Macaca fascicularis: one gene and its partners. The main gene of each other region encodes a partner of the protein of the gene in region 2 in a complex. Links are inferred from orthologs where the notes say so. Each region holds a gene or a part of one and is shown on either strand. Other genes may lie near its edges.

Region 1 (4,620 bases), on a different chromosome or scaffold from region 2:
AGCTAGACTCCATCTCAAAAAAAAAAAAAAAAAAAAAAAAGGACTTTATTTTCAAACCCAAGCTTCTCATAAACCAACCTGTCAGAAACAAATTGCATACAACTCTACCTCTTTTATCAGTAACTGATTTTTCAAAAATAGCTCATGTTGTGAGGCATTAGATTATCTTTAAAGCATGAGAAATTTGGTACCGACTTACTTTATGAGCAATTTTGATGAAATGACATTGATAAATGACCTCAGTTCTCAGATTATTAATTATAAGAACTCAACTGAAGAAAAATAGAAATAAAATCTTAATCCAAACCAATGGAATGATTCATTGGACTGCACTTGATAACCACTGCTTTGTTTCCAACATTTTGTGCAGGTAGATTTAGTAAGCTTTTTAAAAAAGGCACGAAGGCCTTCATCTACAAAAATTAGGGTAGTTTAAGAAAGCTCTGTATCTAATGTTTCCCAGCTTTCAAGTAGATCAGATAGAACTGGAATCTTAATATGATGCAAACATGACAATTCCCAATTTCTTTACCCCTGCTGTGTTGCTTTTTTTCATAAACCAAACTGCCTCTACCTGCAGAACTGGATCAAATTTCTTAGTCACTAAACTCCACCACAAAACCACCTCAAAAGGGACCTGACTCCCACCAACCATGAAAGAACAAGATACACTACAAAGTGAAAAACAGATGCTTTTATTTATTGTATTGTAAACAACTTAATAAAATTTGCATCTCTACATATGGGAAACTGCTTTGAGTAACTGGGAAAACAGCTATTGCATGGGAAAACATATGCAAACTAGCATCACTGTCTCTAGACTAGGTTCTTCTTATTGATCTCATGTCATCATAAGGCAGCAACAGCAGCTTCTAGAAAATGGAGAAACAGCAAAGTCCTGCAGTGGAGCTATAATTAAGGTTGAACCATACATTCCACTAATCCTGCAACTTTCCTACTATCATTTTTCTGCCTATACAATCCTGCTTCTTATAGGATGAACACCTAGCAAAACAATGTAAATTTGCTGAAAAACAAAACTATAAACAAATGAAAGAACTTAACAGAACACACAGCATTAGAGGGACTAGGAAGTGCAAGGTGTTAATATCCAGTACAAGTAATAAAGCCAAGAATTTTCTAATGCTGATCAGTCTGAACACTGAAATTAAGAATCAGTTCTTTTTACTTCTCTAGGAGTGATTCTAGCTCTTCTTGCAAAGAGCTGAGTTGCTCCTTTTCTCGGTCTTCCTTTTGTTTGAGCTCATCCAGTACAGCCTGAAATCTGTTCTTGAGAGCCAGATTTTCCACTTTCATGATGAGATCCTCTTGTCGTTTTGCCCTGTCCTGGGTCTCTTGGAGCTTGCCTTTCATGTTGTCAATCTGCTTCTGAATTCCCATAACCAGCTGATTGGTTCCCTCATTTTCCTGGTGCTGTTCATCTGATTCATTTAGCTTGTCCTGTAGTTGTCTCTCCAGATCTTCCTCAGTGTCAATGATGTTTATATCTTCTTCATCTTGATGCTGGGTCTCATCTTCATCCTCACTGCTGCTGCTGAGGTCATTGAATATCTCCCGAAGCTCATCATGTTCTAATGAGTCATGGCCCTGCCTGTGACCAGACATTCCTGGAGAAGAGATATCCAGGCCTTGATTTTCTGCCTCCTTTGTTTCATCTTCAGCAATTATTTCCCACCGAGTACTAACAGCTTCAGCATCTGTACTCAGCAATCGTTTCACTTCTTTTTCCACATCTGGAGATTCAATATATTTCTTCTTTGCTGTCTTCCGGAACCTTCTCTTCCTGACATTCTTCAGAGGCAGAGTAATTCCGTGGTTCCAGATAAACTTTTTCTCTTTGTCCTTATCCTTTTTCTTGCTTGCTTTAGGATCAGTGCTAGCAACTGGCTCCTCCACAGGTGGATAGAGATCACCATCAACTGTGGATACAAGCATCTGACAGATATCAGCTGTCTTGTAAAAGGTTTTCTTATCAATGGTTTTCAAGCTTTCCATAACACAGGGCAGGTCTACCAATTTTGAGGCCAATGGAACACGGTCCACTCTGACGATTCCATGACGCCCATCAGGATGTAACTCAATTGTCAGTCTGTCCTTGAGGTTGACATGACCAGACTGTACTGCTCTTCTCACAGTAGAGGCATATTCTGGAGGCAGACGTAAGATAAACTGGCTCTCCAGTTCGTGAGGAGCATCATCTTTGCTTTTACTCATTTTTATTTCTTTGTGACTCACTTCTCCAATAAATGATGGTTACCGTAAAAAGTTCCAGCTACTGCAATAATTTAAAACACCAGTTCGCTATGAATTGAAATATTTTAATTACAAGAAGTTCTCTGTAGATCAGCAGCTTAGCGTCTATTTTGCCTTCGTTTTTATTTAAGCTCCAAGTCTTTTCTCTAAATATGCTGTGACCAAATACCAGTCGTTAACACAAAGGCTTATTCACAGACTTAAGTTCATTAAATCAGATGCAATGCCAAGTCCCAACCTCTAGGTGCCGCTGCCCGACAACGCGGAGACAGCTACCTAGCTAGGAAGCAGGAAAGCAAATGGCGGCTCCCGCGGAACGGTTTTCGGCCCAGAAAGGCCAGCAGAGATACTCTCAATTTACAAACTCTCCCGGAACAGACACTCAAAACATCAGGGCTCAGTGAGCTCTCTTCGCCTCGGGTACTTACAATCCAGTGACGATTATAAGTTCAGTTTCACCGGGCCGGAGCGAAGGGAAGAGGAGGCCGCAAGGAGCAAAGCGGGAGGCAGCCAAGCGTCTCCTTGTCGTTTCCTTAATTCTTCCTGCCGCTTGGCAGAGTGATCCACTATCGATTACTGATGAAAGCCCAGGATGGGCAACGCGAAATCTTGCCGAGAGGCGCAGCTCGGAGAACCAGACCCGGCACCTCGCCGGCCCTCCGTTCGACCGCTTGCCCAGAGAAAACGGAAGTGCTACGTCACGACGCGGGGCGGGAGGTGGATGTGAGTGACAGCCCCTCCGGCCGGAAGGGCGGAGCCCCGGCGCGCGCAGGCGCAATAGCGCAATTACGCTGCCCAGCGTGAAACTCGTCTTTTCGCGAGAACTTGCTTTTCTAGGATGAAAATGATAGTGTTTTCGAAGAGCTGTTGGTTTCAAACTATTTAGCGCTTGGAAGTTACAAGAAAGACACGGATTCGTCCCCCGCTAAGCCAGCACTTTTAAGGGATCGCTGTGGGGCCGGATGGCTTCTAGACTTCCGGGTGATTCCGGGAGATGGGGGACGCCTGGCAGTAAGCGTCTTTGCTTCTGGAAACATCTCGGATGCTTCCTAGGGTCTAGCCAATCTGGTGCCAATACAAGAATGTGTAGCTACTATACAATGGATTTTAAAGAACCCAAATCAGTGGAGTGAGGAGGACATGGAGCTCACTATATAATTCTAAACCTCTCTTTGTTTGTTTGTTTGTTTGTTTTGGAAATGGAGTCTAGGCTGTCACCCAGGCTTGAGTGTAGTGGCACAATATTGGCTCACTGCAATCTGCACCTCCAGGGTTCAAGCGATTCTCCTGCCTCAGCCTCTTGAGTAGCTGGGATTACAGGCACCTTCCACTACCCCAGCTAAGTTTGGTATTTTTAGTAGAGAAGGGGTTTCACCATGTTGGCCAGGCTGGTCTCCAACTCCTGACCTGAGGTGATTTGCCTGTCTTGGCCTCCCAAAGTACTGGGATTATAGGTGTGAGCCACCGTGCCTGGCCCAAAGTCTATATTTTGTTTAATATAATTCCCTGTAGGGGAATTGTGCCTCTGGGTTTCCTTCTGTTCTGTAATACTCCTGAGGAAACAAGGGTGATTCCTTTTTATATGCTTGATTTAGATGTAAATGTAAGCAGAGAAGGAAGTGTTCTTCTGCAAGCACAGGTTCATTTTGGACAGAATTGTCTGATAGACTGAGCATCTGGTTAAAGTAGACATAATTGAAGTATTGTTTCCTGCTTCTCATGTACAAGTAATTTTAAATACTTTGACTTTTTTTTTAACTCCACCTCTACTATTTTGCTGTTTTGTGCTTGTCTTTTCTTTGGAGGGTCAGGTATTCATCAACACATATTTTTAGTATTTTGACATAACTGGGTAACAGTTGGTACTTATTTCTATTTATTTCCATTTATTTTTAAAATATCTGGTAGAGCATCAAGGCCATTAACATTTAATTTCTATCCTCTAAAATATTACCAATTGCCCCTAAATTTAAGAGAATTCTCTTAAGATGTAATTAACATTTCCAAAATTCACTTTATTCCTGTATGATTGAAAGCTCCATGATAGTGATCTTTTTCTATCCTGGTCATTGTGTCCCAGTGCCTAGTACCAGAACATGGGAGATACACAAAAAATATTTGCTAATTGAATGAAAAAATTGATCTATCTAGAAAGATCATAGTCTTAAATGCTGTAGTGATTTGTGAGAGAAAATACATTCTTTGTCACTTTAAAATGAGATAGAGCCACTTTACATACATTTCCTCTCTAGTCAGGGACAATGCTAATTGTTATGAGGTGGGGAGGTTTGCTAATAGTGTGTGTGAATGTGGTTTAGCTAGAATGAGATACTGTCGTGGGAGGAA
Region 2 (4,367 bases):
ACTTAGAAGAGAAGAAAAAAGTTTTAGAGGCACGCGTAACTGGGGTTGGGTCACTCAGTACTGTGTGATTTCAGGCAAAGTATTTATTTTTTTTATTATTATTTTTTTTTATTATTTTTTTTTTTTTTGAGACGGAGTCTTGCTCTGTCACCCAGGCTGGAGTGCAGTGGCCGGATCTCAGCTCACTGCAAGCTCCGCCTCCCGGGTTTACGCCATTCTCCTGCCTCAGCCTCCCCAGTAGCTGGGACTACAGGCGCCCGCCACCTCGCCCGGCTATTTTTTTGTATTTTTTAGTAGAGACGGGGTTTCACCGTGTTAGCCGGGATCGTCTCTCGATCTCCTGACCTCGTGATCTGCCCGTCTCGGCCTCCCAAAGTGCTGGGATTACAGGCTTGAGCCACCGCGCCCGGCCCAGGCAAAGTATTTAACCTCTCTAAACCTATTTCATTATCTGTACAACGAGACTGACAATATCTAACTTGTGGGGCTGTGATAATTAAATCATAGAATACTCAAAAGTACCTAAGCTGTGCCTGGTTAGTCTGAGTAGGTTTCAGAAAAAGATATTAATATTGAAGTAAGTGACTGGTGCAAGTCTCCCCACCATTCTTATCCAAAAGCAGCCATCCCTAGTAAATGTTTGCACTAAAAATGCAGGACACACTTATTTATGGCTTTCCAAACAGCTTATTAAATAAATAAATAAATAACACTGAGCTTTATTTAAAGGTTCCAGCCAGGTGCAGTGGCTCATGCCTATAATCCCAACATTCTGGGATATCAAGGTGGGAGAATCACTTGAGGACAAGAATTCAACACCAGCCTAGGCAACACAGCCAAACACCGTCTCTACAAAAAAACTTAAAAATTAGCTGGGTGTAGTGGCTCATACCTGTAGTCCCAGCTACCCAGGAGGCTGAGGCAGGAGGAGTGCTTGAGCTCAAGAATATAGGTTGCAGTGAGCTATGATGATGCCACTGCACTCCAATATGGGCAACAAAACAAGACCCTGTCTCAAAAATATAAAAATAAAAATAAAGGTTTCCTTACTATTAAGTGACATTTACTGTATCAATGTCAATGCAGTAATAACACTCAAAGTATCAGAAACTGTAAAAATTTCCAGTTTTTACTGGAAATAAAAACTGGGCCAGGCGTGGTGGCTCATGTCTATAATCCCAGCACTTCGGGAGGCTGAGGTGGGCAGATCACTTTAGGTCAGGAGTTCGAAACCAGCCTGGCCAACATGGTAAAACCCTGTCTCTACTAAAAATACAAAAATTAGCTGGGCATTGTAGCACACACCTGTAATTCCAGCTACTTGAGAGGCTGAGGCAGGAGAATCTTTTGAACCGGGGAAGCAGAGATTGCAGTGAGCTGAGATCGTGCCACTGCACGCCAGCCTGGGTGACTCTGTCTCAAAAAAAGAAAACTGGAAGCGGGGGGAAGTGACTCATGCCTGCAATCCCAGCACTCTGGGAGACCAAGGTGGGAGGATCACTTGAGCCTAGGAGTTTGAGACCAGCCTGGGCAACATAGTGAGATCCTGTTTCTACAAAAAATTTAAAAATTAGCAGGGTGTGGAGGCACATGCCTGTAGTTCCAGCTACTCAGGAGGTATATATAGGTGGGAAGATTGCTTGAGCCTAGGAGGTTGACGTGCATGGTGCCAAGATTGAGCCACTGCACTTCAGCCTGGGCAACAGAGAGAGAACCTGTCTCAAAAAAAAAAAAAAAAAAAAAAAAAAAAAAAAAAAAAATTCCCTCCTGAGTTTGAAGATAAAGCAAAGATTCTGGAAGCATTTAAGGAACATTAACCAAGCATCTCATTTGCTACGCACAGAAGGGTACTGTATTAAAATTATGATCTAACCATTGCCTCACTGTAATCCTAAACCTCTTTGAACCTTAGCCTCCTTAAATGTAAAATAGGAGTTTTTAAAAGATGATCTTTTGGGACTCTTCCATCACTGACATTCTTTTACTTGAGATGCAGAGATCTGTGCTCATTCAGGGTTGAGTGGAATGGGATTTAAAGCACTTATCAAGTATATAACTGAGTTCCAACTGTTTTCAACTTCACATCTGATTCCCAAGAATGAAGCAGAAAATGAAGATGTTTGCATGTGGGCTTCCTAGATTGAGTATCTAACACAAGAAAAGCCTGCCAAGAGCCAAGCAGGCAGTGCGAAGGAGAAGTTGTCTTCCCCTGAATACGTCCTTTATCTCTCTGGGTTCAGGGAATACTGTGGAAAAAAAAATGGATCACTAAATATTTTCCAAACCCTTTCCCTTTACTTTCTAGGCTGATCTCACATCCATGGTCCCTTAGATCCAAGGCTTTTAGGAGCTTGGGTCCTCACCGCCCTGTTCTGAGACTCAGGTACTCGGAGTCTCAAAGCCCGGATCCCGTCCCCAAAGAAGCCCCAGTCTTCACTGCCCGCTTCTGTTCCCTTCCAAACTCAAGTTTTCTCTGTCTGCTTCTGCCCCTCAGGAACCTGAGTCTTCGCTGCCCCGTTTCTGAATCCTTAGGAGGCCGGGTCTTCACTGTCCCGCTTCTGCCTCTTAGAAGCCCAAGTCCTCACCGCTCCACTTTTACCTCTCCGGAGCCCGTGTCTTCACACCCCGTTCCTTTCCGACCCTCTCCTCGTAGGAGTGCGGGTCCTCATAATCCTGCTCCTCTCAGACCACTTTCCCTCAGATGCCGGAGAACTCAGATCCGTCCCCGTTCCCTAAGTCCCGTCTTGGAGCCCAGGTCCCCACAGCCGCGTCTTCTCCGAGCCTGATCCTCTGTCAGTCCCTTCCCAAGAGCCTGAATCCTCACAGCCCCGTCTCGTCCACAACCTGGTCCTTCGAACACTGACCTACTGTAGATCTGGGTCCTGACTCCCTCCTCCCGCTCTTGTTCCTCAACTGCCAGGGCCCAAGACTCACAGGCAGCAGCGTCTATCTCCCCATGATATGCGGAGACTGCCCCAGAGAAGCGTTCGTCTCAGCAGCCGGTCCGACTGCGCGGCCCTCCCCGACTACTTCCGGCACCGCTCCCCGCCTCCAACCCGGAAACGCGCGGCTCTTCCGGCCGGCGGGCGCGCGCCTCGCTTGCGCAGGCGCAGACTGCCCTCCGACACGTGGTGGCGATCTTGAGCTGTGTGTAGCTGTAGCCTGCAGCTTGCGCTTTTAACTGCTTGTAGTTGAGTGGCAGCATGAGCGAGCTCTGCGTATTCCACCCCGGCGTTAAGAATCCTTCACTAGCTTTTCTTCCCGACTCTGCTTATTTATCCATCGGTAGCATGACGGGTAATTGACGCCCTCGGATGGCTTTGAGGTCGCCATTTTTGGTTGGTGCCTTTGTCATGGTGTCAGGACCAGGATATCATCTGGGACACATTACCCCACAGGTATCCTGTTGAACCTCAACGAGGAAGTTGGCAACACAGGAACCGGGAGATGAGACAGATCGGTTGGTTGTGCCTGTGAACTGGCAATTCAGTAATAACAATTGACTGCTGACTGTTTGCCAGGAATTGTGCTAATCGGCTTACCTCCGTTACGCCATTTAATCAGTTAGAGGAGACCTGTGAGAGATTAAGCAAAATTCTAGCTAATAAGTGCAGAGCCTCAGCTTGAACTCAGACCTCACTACTAAGCCAAAGCCTATCCTGTAGCATTCTCTACAGGACAGTTTTTTGCTGTCAAATGCTTGGTGAGAATTGCTTTTATGTGGCTCACGCCTGTGATCCCAGCACTTTGGGAGGCCGAGGCGGGTGGATCACGAGGTCAGGAGTTCAAGACCAGCCTTGCCAAGATGGTGAAACCCCGTCTCTACTAAAAATACAAAACAATTAGCCGGGCGTGGTGGCACGCGTCTGTAATCGCTACTCCGGAGGCTGAAGCAGAGAACTGCTTAAACCTGGAGGGGCGGAGGTTGCAGTGAGCCGAGATCGCGCCACTGCACTCCGGCCTGGGTGACAGAGCGAGACTCTGTCTCAAAAAAAAAAAGAGAGAACTGTTATTTTTTACTGTATGCTGGAATGTTAGGTATGCAAGTCAGACCCAGTTCCAGCATCTGTAAGGTTCACAGTAAAATGGAGAAGAACCCACAAACACACCAAAAAATGTATAAAGAGCTGTGGGCCGGGCGCGGTGGCTCAAGCCTGTAATCCCAGCACTTTGGGAGGCCGAGACGGGCGGATCACAAGGTCAGGAGATTGAGACCATCCTGGCGAACACGGTGAAACCCCGTCTCTACTAAAAATACATAAAAAAACTAGCCGGGCGAGGTGGTGGGCGCCTGTAATCCCAGCTACTCGGGAGGCTGAGGCAGGAGAATGGCATAAACCCGGGAGGCGGAGCTTGCAGTGAGCTGA
Region 3 (4,674 bases), on a different chromosome or scaffold from region 2:
TAATCAGGTTTTAATTTTATCATTTATGTTTTTTAATGTGCTAATTCATTAGTGTCTACTTGTATCCTTATTAACTCCTTGTTCCTACACTCTTCTGATTTATTTTGTTCTTTATCTGTTGTTTGTTTGTTTGTTTGTTTTTTCCCCAGACTCACTCTGTTGCCCAGGCTGGATCATAGCTCACTGCAGCCTCAAGTGATCCTCCCGTGTCAGCCTGCCAGGTAGCTAGGTCTGTAGGTGTGACCTACTCCACTAGGCCCTTTATCTGGTCTCTTGAGTCAGGTGCTTATTTGCAGTATCTTCTGGTTGTTAATAAAAATATGTAAGGCTATACATTTTTCTTTAAATAAAGCTTTGGCCAAATCCCATATCATTTGATAAAGTGTTCTGTTAATTTCTTTAGTCTAAAGGCTATTTAAAAAATAGTTTAAAATTTCCAGGGGGTTCTTTTTTGGTGGGGGAGAAGCTTTTTGTAGTTAATTTCAAGTTTAATGCATTGCATTAACAAGATGTGGCCTGTTATGATATCTACTTTTAAGAATTCATATTTTTCTTCATGGTCTAGTACATGATTGATTTTTAAAAGTGTTTCAGAAACAACATAATTTTATCCTCTGTTCGGTGCAAATTTATATATGTAGTGAGCTCTCTAGTGTACCAAGCTAATTATTCAAATCCTTGCTGTCCTTGACACCTGTTTTAAAGTTTCCTTCTTGGCCAGGCATGGTGGCTCCCACCTGTAATCTTAGCACTTTGGGAGGCTGAGGCGGAAGGATTACTTCAGCCCAGTGAGTTGGAGACCAGACTGGGCAATATAATGAGACCTTGTCTCTACCAAAACAATATTTAAAAAACCTTTAGCTGGCCAGGTGCGGTGGCTCATGCCTATAATCCCAGAACTTTGGGAGGCTGAGGCAGATGGATCATGACGTCAGGAGTTCAAGACCAGCCTGCGCAACTTGGTGAAACCTTGGCTCTACTAAAAATACAAAAATTAGCTGGGCACAGTGGCACGTGCCTGTAATCCCAGTTACTGGGGAGGCTGAGGCAGGAGAATCACTTGAGCCTGGGAGGCGGAGGTTGCAGTAGGCCGAGATTGCGCCATTGCACTCCAGCCTGGGCAACAGAGCGAGACTCCGTCTCAAAAACGAAACAAAACAAAACAAAACAATACAAAAACTTCAGCTGAGCGTGGTGCAGTATGCTTGCAATCCCAGTTACTGCGGAGGCTGAGATAAGAGGGTTGCTTGAGCCCAGGAGGCAGAGACTGTGCCACTGCACTCCAGGCTGGGTGACAGAGTGAGACCTTGTCTCAACAAACCAACAAAAACTGCCTTAAAGGAGCTTGCAGTGAGCCGAGATCGCGCCACTGCACATTCCAGCCTGGGTGACAGAGCGAGTACTCAGTCTCAAAAACAAAAACAAAAACAAAAAAAGAAACCTGCCTTAAAATACTTTTGTCAAATGTTCTCTTTTTCTTTTTTTCGAGACGGAGTTTCACTCTGGCACCCAAGCTGGTGTGCAGTGGTGCGATCTCGGCTCACTGCAACCTCTGCCTCCCAGGTTCAAGCGATTCTTGTGCCTCAGCCTCCTAAGTAGCCGGGATTACAGGCGCCTGCCACCATGCCCAGCTAATTTTTGTATTTTTAGTAGAGACAGGGTTTCCCCATATTGGGGATCTCCTGACCTCAGGCGATCCACCCACCTCCGCCTCCCAAAGATTACAGGCGTGAGCCACTGCACCCGGCCAAATTTTCTCTTTTTCTAAAAGTTCTTACTTTATATATTTTTATGCAACTTTATACACTGAAAGGCTATTTCCATCTAATCTACTGTTCACCCCACGATCTCTTAAATCCCTTCTAGCTCTAAGACCCCAAGATTCTACTTCCAGAAATGTAATCCAGAGAACGATGAGTTTCTGGTCCTGACCAATGTTCAGCTAGGCAACACTGCTGAACTCTCTGTAGCATAAAAACACCAGACCCAACTGATGGGTCCCTGATCACCGGGTGCTGTGGCTCACACCTGTAATCCCAGCACTTTGGGAGGCCGAGGCGGACGGATCACGAGGTCAGGGGTTCGAGACCAGCCTGGCCAACATGGTAAAACCCCGTCTCTAATAAAAATACAAAAATTAGCCGGGCATGGTGGTGTGAGCCTGTAATCCCAGCTACTTGGGAGGCTGAAGCAAGAGAATCGCGTGAACCCGGGAGGCGGAGGTTGCAGTGAGCCAGAGATCGCGCCATTGTACTACAGCCCGGGCGACACTTTTATAAAAGTCTATCTCCCTTTGACAGGTTTGATCGACCCTCCTTCCTATAAAGAAACAAAGTTGTCTTAACATCTAAGACGAACCATATTGCGGTGAAAGGGGTGCTACGAATCCTGGGTTTTAGCTCTTGCACTGCGTCTCAGTGTGACACTGGATCCCAGTTTCCTCACCACTAAAGCCAATAGGCTATTAAAACTCCCTTAGAAGTAGCTTTAATCCCTTGACAAGACTAAAAATATTAACGCAGTGCTTGAGCCTCTGGAACGGAACCAGCACTGGAGTTCTGTTTGGTCGTCCGCTCTCTTCCCCCTCAAGATTAACGATCTGGAGGGAGTTCTGGTGAGTTCGAGTTCTCGTAACTTGGGAGGGACTAACCAGAAGCCCGGCAAGCACCCAGTAACACGATCTCTGGGTATTCCTTCAGCCTCATCGATACATCTCTTCCTACCTCGCCTTCCTCCGCTGCAGCTTCTTTCAAGTCCGCATCTGCGTCTCCGTCAGTTTCCTCTGGGATTCCATCCGTGTCGGTAGCCCCCGGGTCCCCGGACGCAGCGGCCGTCTCATCCGACTCCCCTGTCTCTCCACCTTTGTCGGAGGGCGACTCGCGGGCATCGTCCATCACGGATAGGATTGGAGGGGAGAGGAGATCGCGGCGATGTCTGAGGCAGAAGCTCGGAACCCCGAGCTGCACAGGACAGTATCTTACTTCCTGTCGTCGCGCAGCGATGACATCACCCCTACCGCTCTCCTGAGGGGTCATTTTGAGGCGCGCGTAGAGGACTAGAGGACTCATTTTAACTTTGGTTTGGCGACAGTGGGAAGCGGGAAAATTGGACGTAAAGAGCTCAGACTATGGATCCTCCTAGCTAGGAAACCAGCACTTGTGAAGGAGCGCAGTTTTGTTTACTAAATAACTTTTTCCTTTTCGCCTGTCTAAAAATTCAATACCAGTTAATCCCTTCGTTAACCCCTCAGAGTAAAGTTGGGGGATCGGGAGAAAACTCAGTTCCGTTGTATGGCGGTGTCGTGGAATGAGGCTACCCGGGATTGGTAAACTTTCAGGCAAGACTCAACCTTGTGTATTTCAACTGGCCCGAAACCGCGGGTCTGTGTGTACGTGGAATTGCTAGCATTTCCGCTCCATTCAGCAAGCACCTTAACAACAAAAAGTCATCTAGCTTGAGCAGAATTTATCCAATTCATTTATTCATCCACAACTATTGACTGCGTACTTCGATTTAGAAACAGTGCTAGTACCAGGGAACAAAACACACATAGTTTCTATCCAATTAAATGATTTTTTTTCAGTTCGCAAGTATTCAAGATTGAGGTTTGTTTCTACAAGTCTGACACTTTTCTATCATTTTGGTTAATCTTACCAAAACTAAGAGGAAAGCCTAAAGAGAGGAAGGTGTCTCCTTCGAACGTTTCACTTTAACGAACTAGTTCATGTACTGGGAGGATGAAGTGGTGAGGATATTTCTATTTTAAAATTTTCTTCTCTTCCCTCATAGAGATACGAGGGGGAGGGCGTTTTATTCACCTGGGTATGACTAGGTCCCAGCACCTATTACATATTTAATTTATGCGTGCTTAAAGAATGTCCTTGGAAATGTAGGTGCGCGTTACCATATTTATCTCTTTGTTTCTGCGCTGCCTGGACGAATTGCCGTATTTCCTGTCCCAGGAGCTCCCAAAACGTTTAGGGAAGGAGCGCACTTCGGGAGGCGCGTACAGGTGGGCCTGTTTGTCCCTTTCCACCTATATAATGGGGACCCACAAGGCGCTGTCCCCATAACCCGTGAGGCCTGTCTCGGCACAGCAAAATCCACCTGCGCTGGTCCGCGGAGCCCCGCCCAGCTAGGTGAGCTAGGGGGCGGGGCGCGGGGGCGCGGTGACGCGTGACGCCGGATCCCGGAAGTGACGCGCTCGTGGAGAAAAGGCAGGGAGGGGGGGTGGTGTCCCCAGCCGGTTTGGGGGGTGCGTTGCCCGGAGACGGAAAGTTTGGGAGCCCGAGCAGGCTCGGCTGCAGCCCCGGGGAGGGGGGTCCAGCGGGTGGCGGCCCTGGGGATGGGGAAGGAGCAGGAGCTGCTGGAGGCGGCCCGCACCGGGCACCTCCCGGCGGTGGAGAAGCTGCTGTCCGGGAAGCGGCTCTCCTCTGGCTTTGGGGGCGGCGGCGGCGGCGGCGGCGGCGGCTCTGGGGGCGGCGGCGGCGGCGGCCTCGGCTCTTCCAGCCACCCCCTCTCCAGTCTGCTCAGGTGGGTACGCGCCGGGGCCGGGCCGCTGCCTGCAGACCCCTTCTCCCCCACCCGTCTCTTGGGTCTCCAGAGAGATCGGGGGTCCTGAGACTCGGGCGGGGTGGGCTTGTGGCGTGCCCGGGGCGAGGCAGGCGGCGCACG

Evidence for each region. The genes of interacting proteins can lie anywhere in the genome.
Region 1: TAF12 (region 2) and TAF7 share a complex: the UniProt entries of both Homo sapiens proteins name them as parts of the TFIID basal transcription factor complex. The link is inferred for Macaca fascicularis from reciprocal best matches to the Homo sapiens genes TAF12 and TAF7.
Region 3: TAF12 (region 2) and TAF11 share a complex: the UniProt entries of both Homo sapiens proteins name them as parts of the TFIID basal transcription factor complex. The link is inferred for Macaca fascicularis from reciprocal best matches to the Homo sapiens genes TAF12 and TAF11.

What each region holds. Positions count from the first base shown.
Region 1 is NC_088380.1:147,784,382-147,789,001, forward strand, and holds TAF7 (transcription initiation factor TFIID subunit 7), read right to left. Parts: upstream 2,967-4,620; 5' UTR 2,236-2,966; coding exon 1,186-2,235; 3' UTR 680-1,185; downstream 1-679. UniProt on the Homo sapiens protein: The TFIID basal transcription factor complex plays a major role in the initiation of RNA polymerase II (Pol II)-dependent transcription.
Region 2 is NC_088375.1:206,387,950-206,392,316, reverse strand, and holds the start of TAF12 (transcription initiation factor TFIID subunit 12), read right to left. Parts: upstream 3,048-4,367; 5' UTR 2,865-3,047; exon of another isoform or gene 2,600-2,864; intron 1-2,599. UniProt on the Homo sapiens protein: The TFIID basal transcription factor complex plays a major role in the initiation of RNA polymerase II (Pol II)-dependent transcription.
Region 3 is NC_088378.1:136,805,095-136,809,768, reverse strand, and holds the start of TAF11 (transcription initiation factor TFIID subunit 11), read right to left. Parts: upstream 2,980-4,674; 5' UTR 2,895-2,979; coding exon 2,724-2,894; intron 1-2,723. Other genes in the region: ANKS1A (ankyrin repeat and SAM domain-containing protein 1A), read left to right, coding at 4,346-4,533. UniProt on the Homo sapiens protein: The TFIID basal transcription factor complex plays a major role in the initiation of RNA polymerase II (Pol II)-dependent transcription.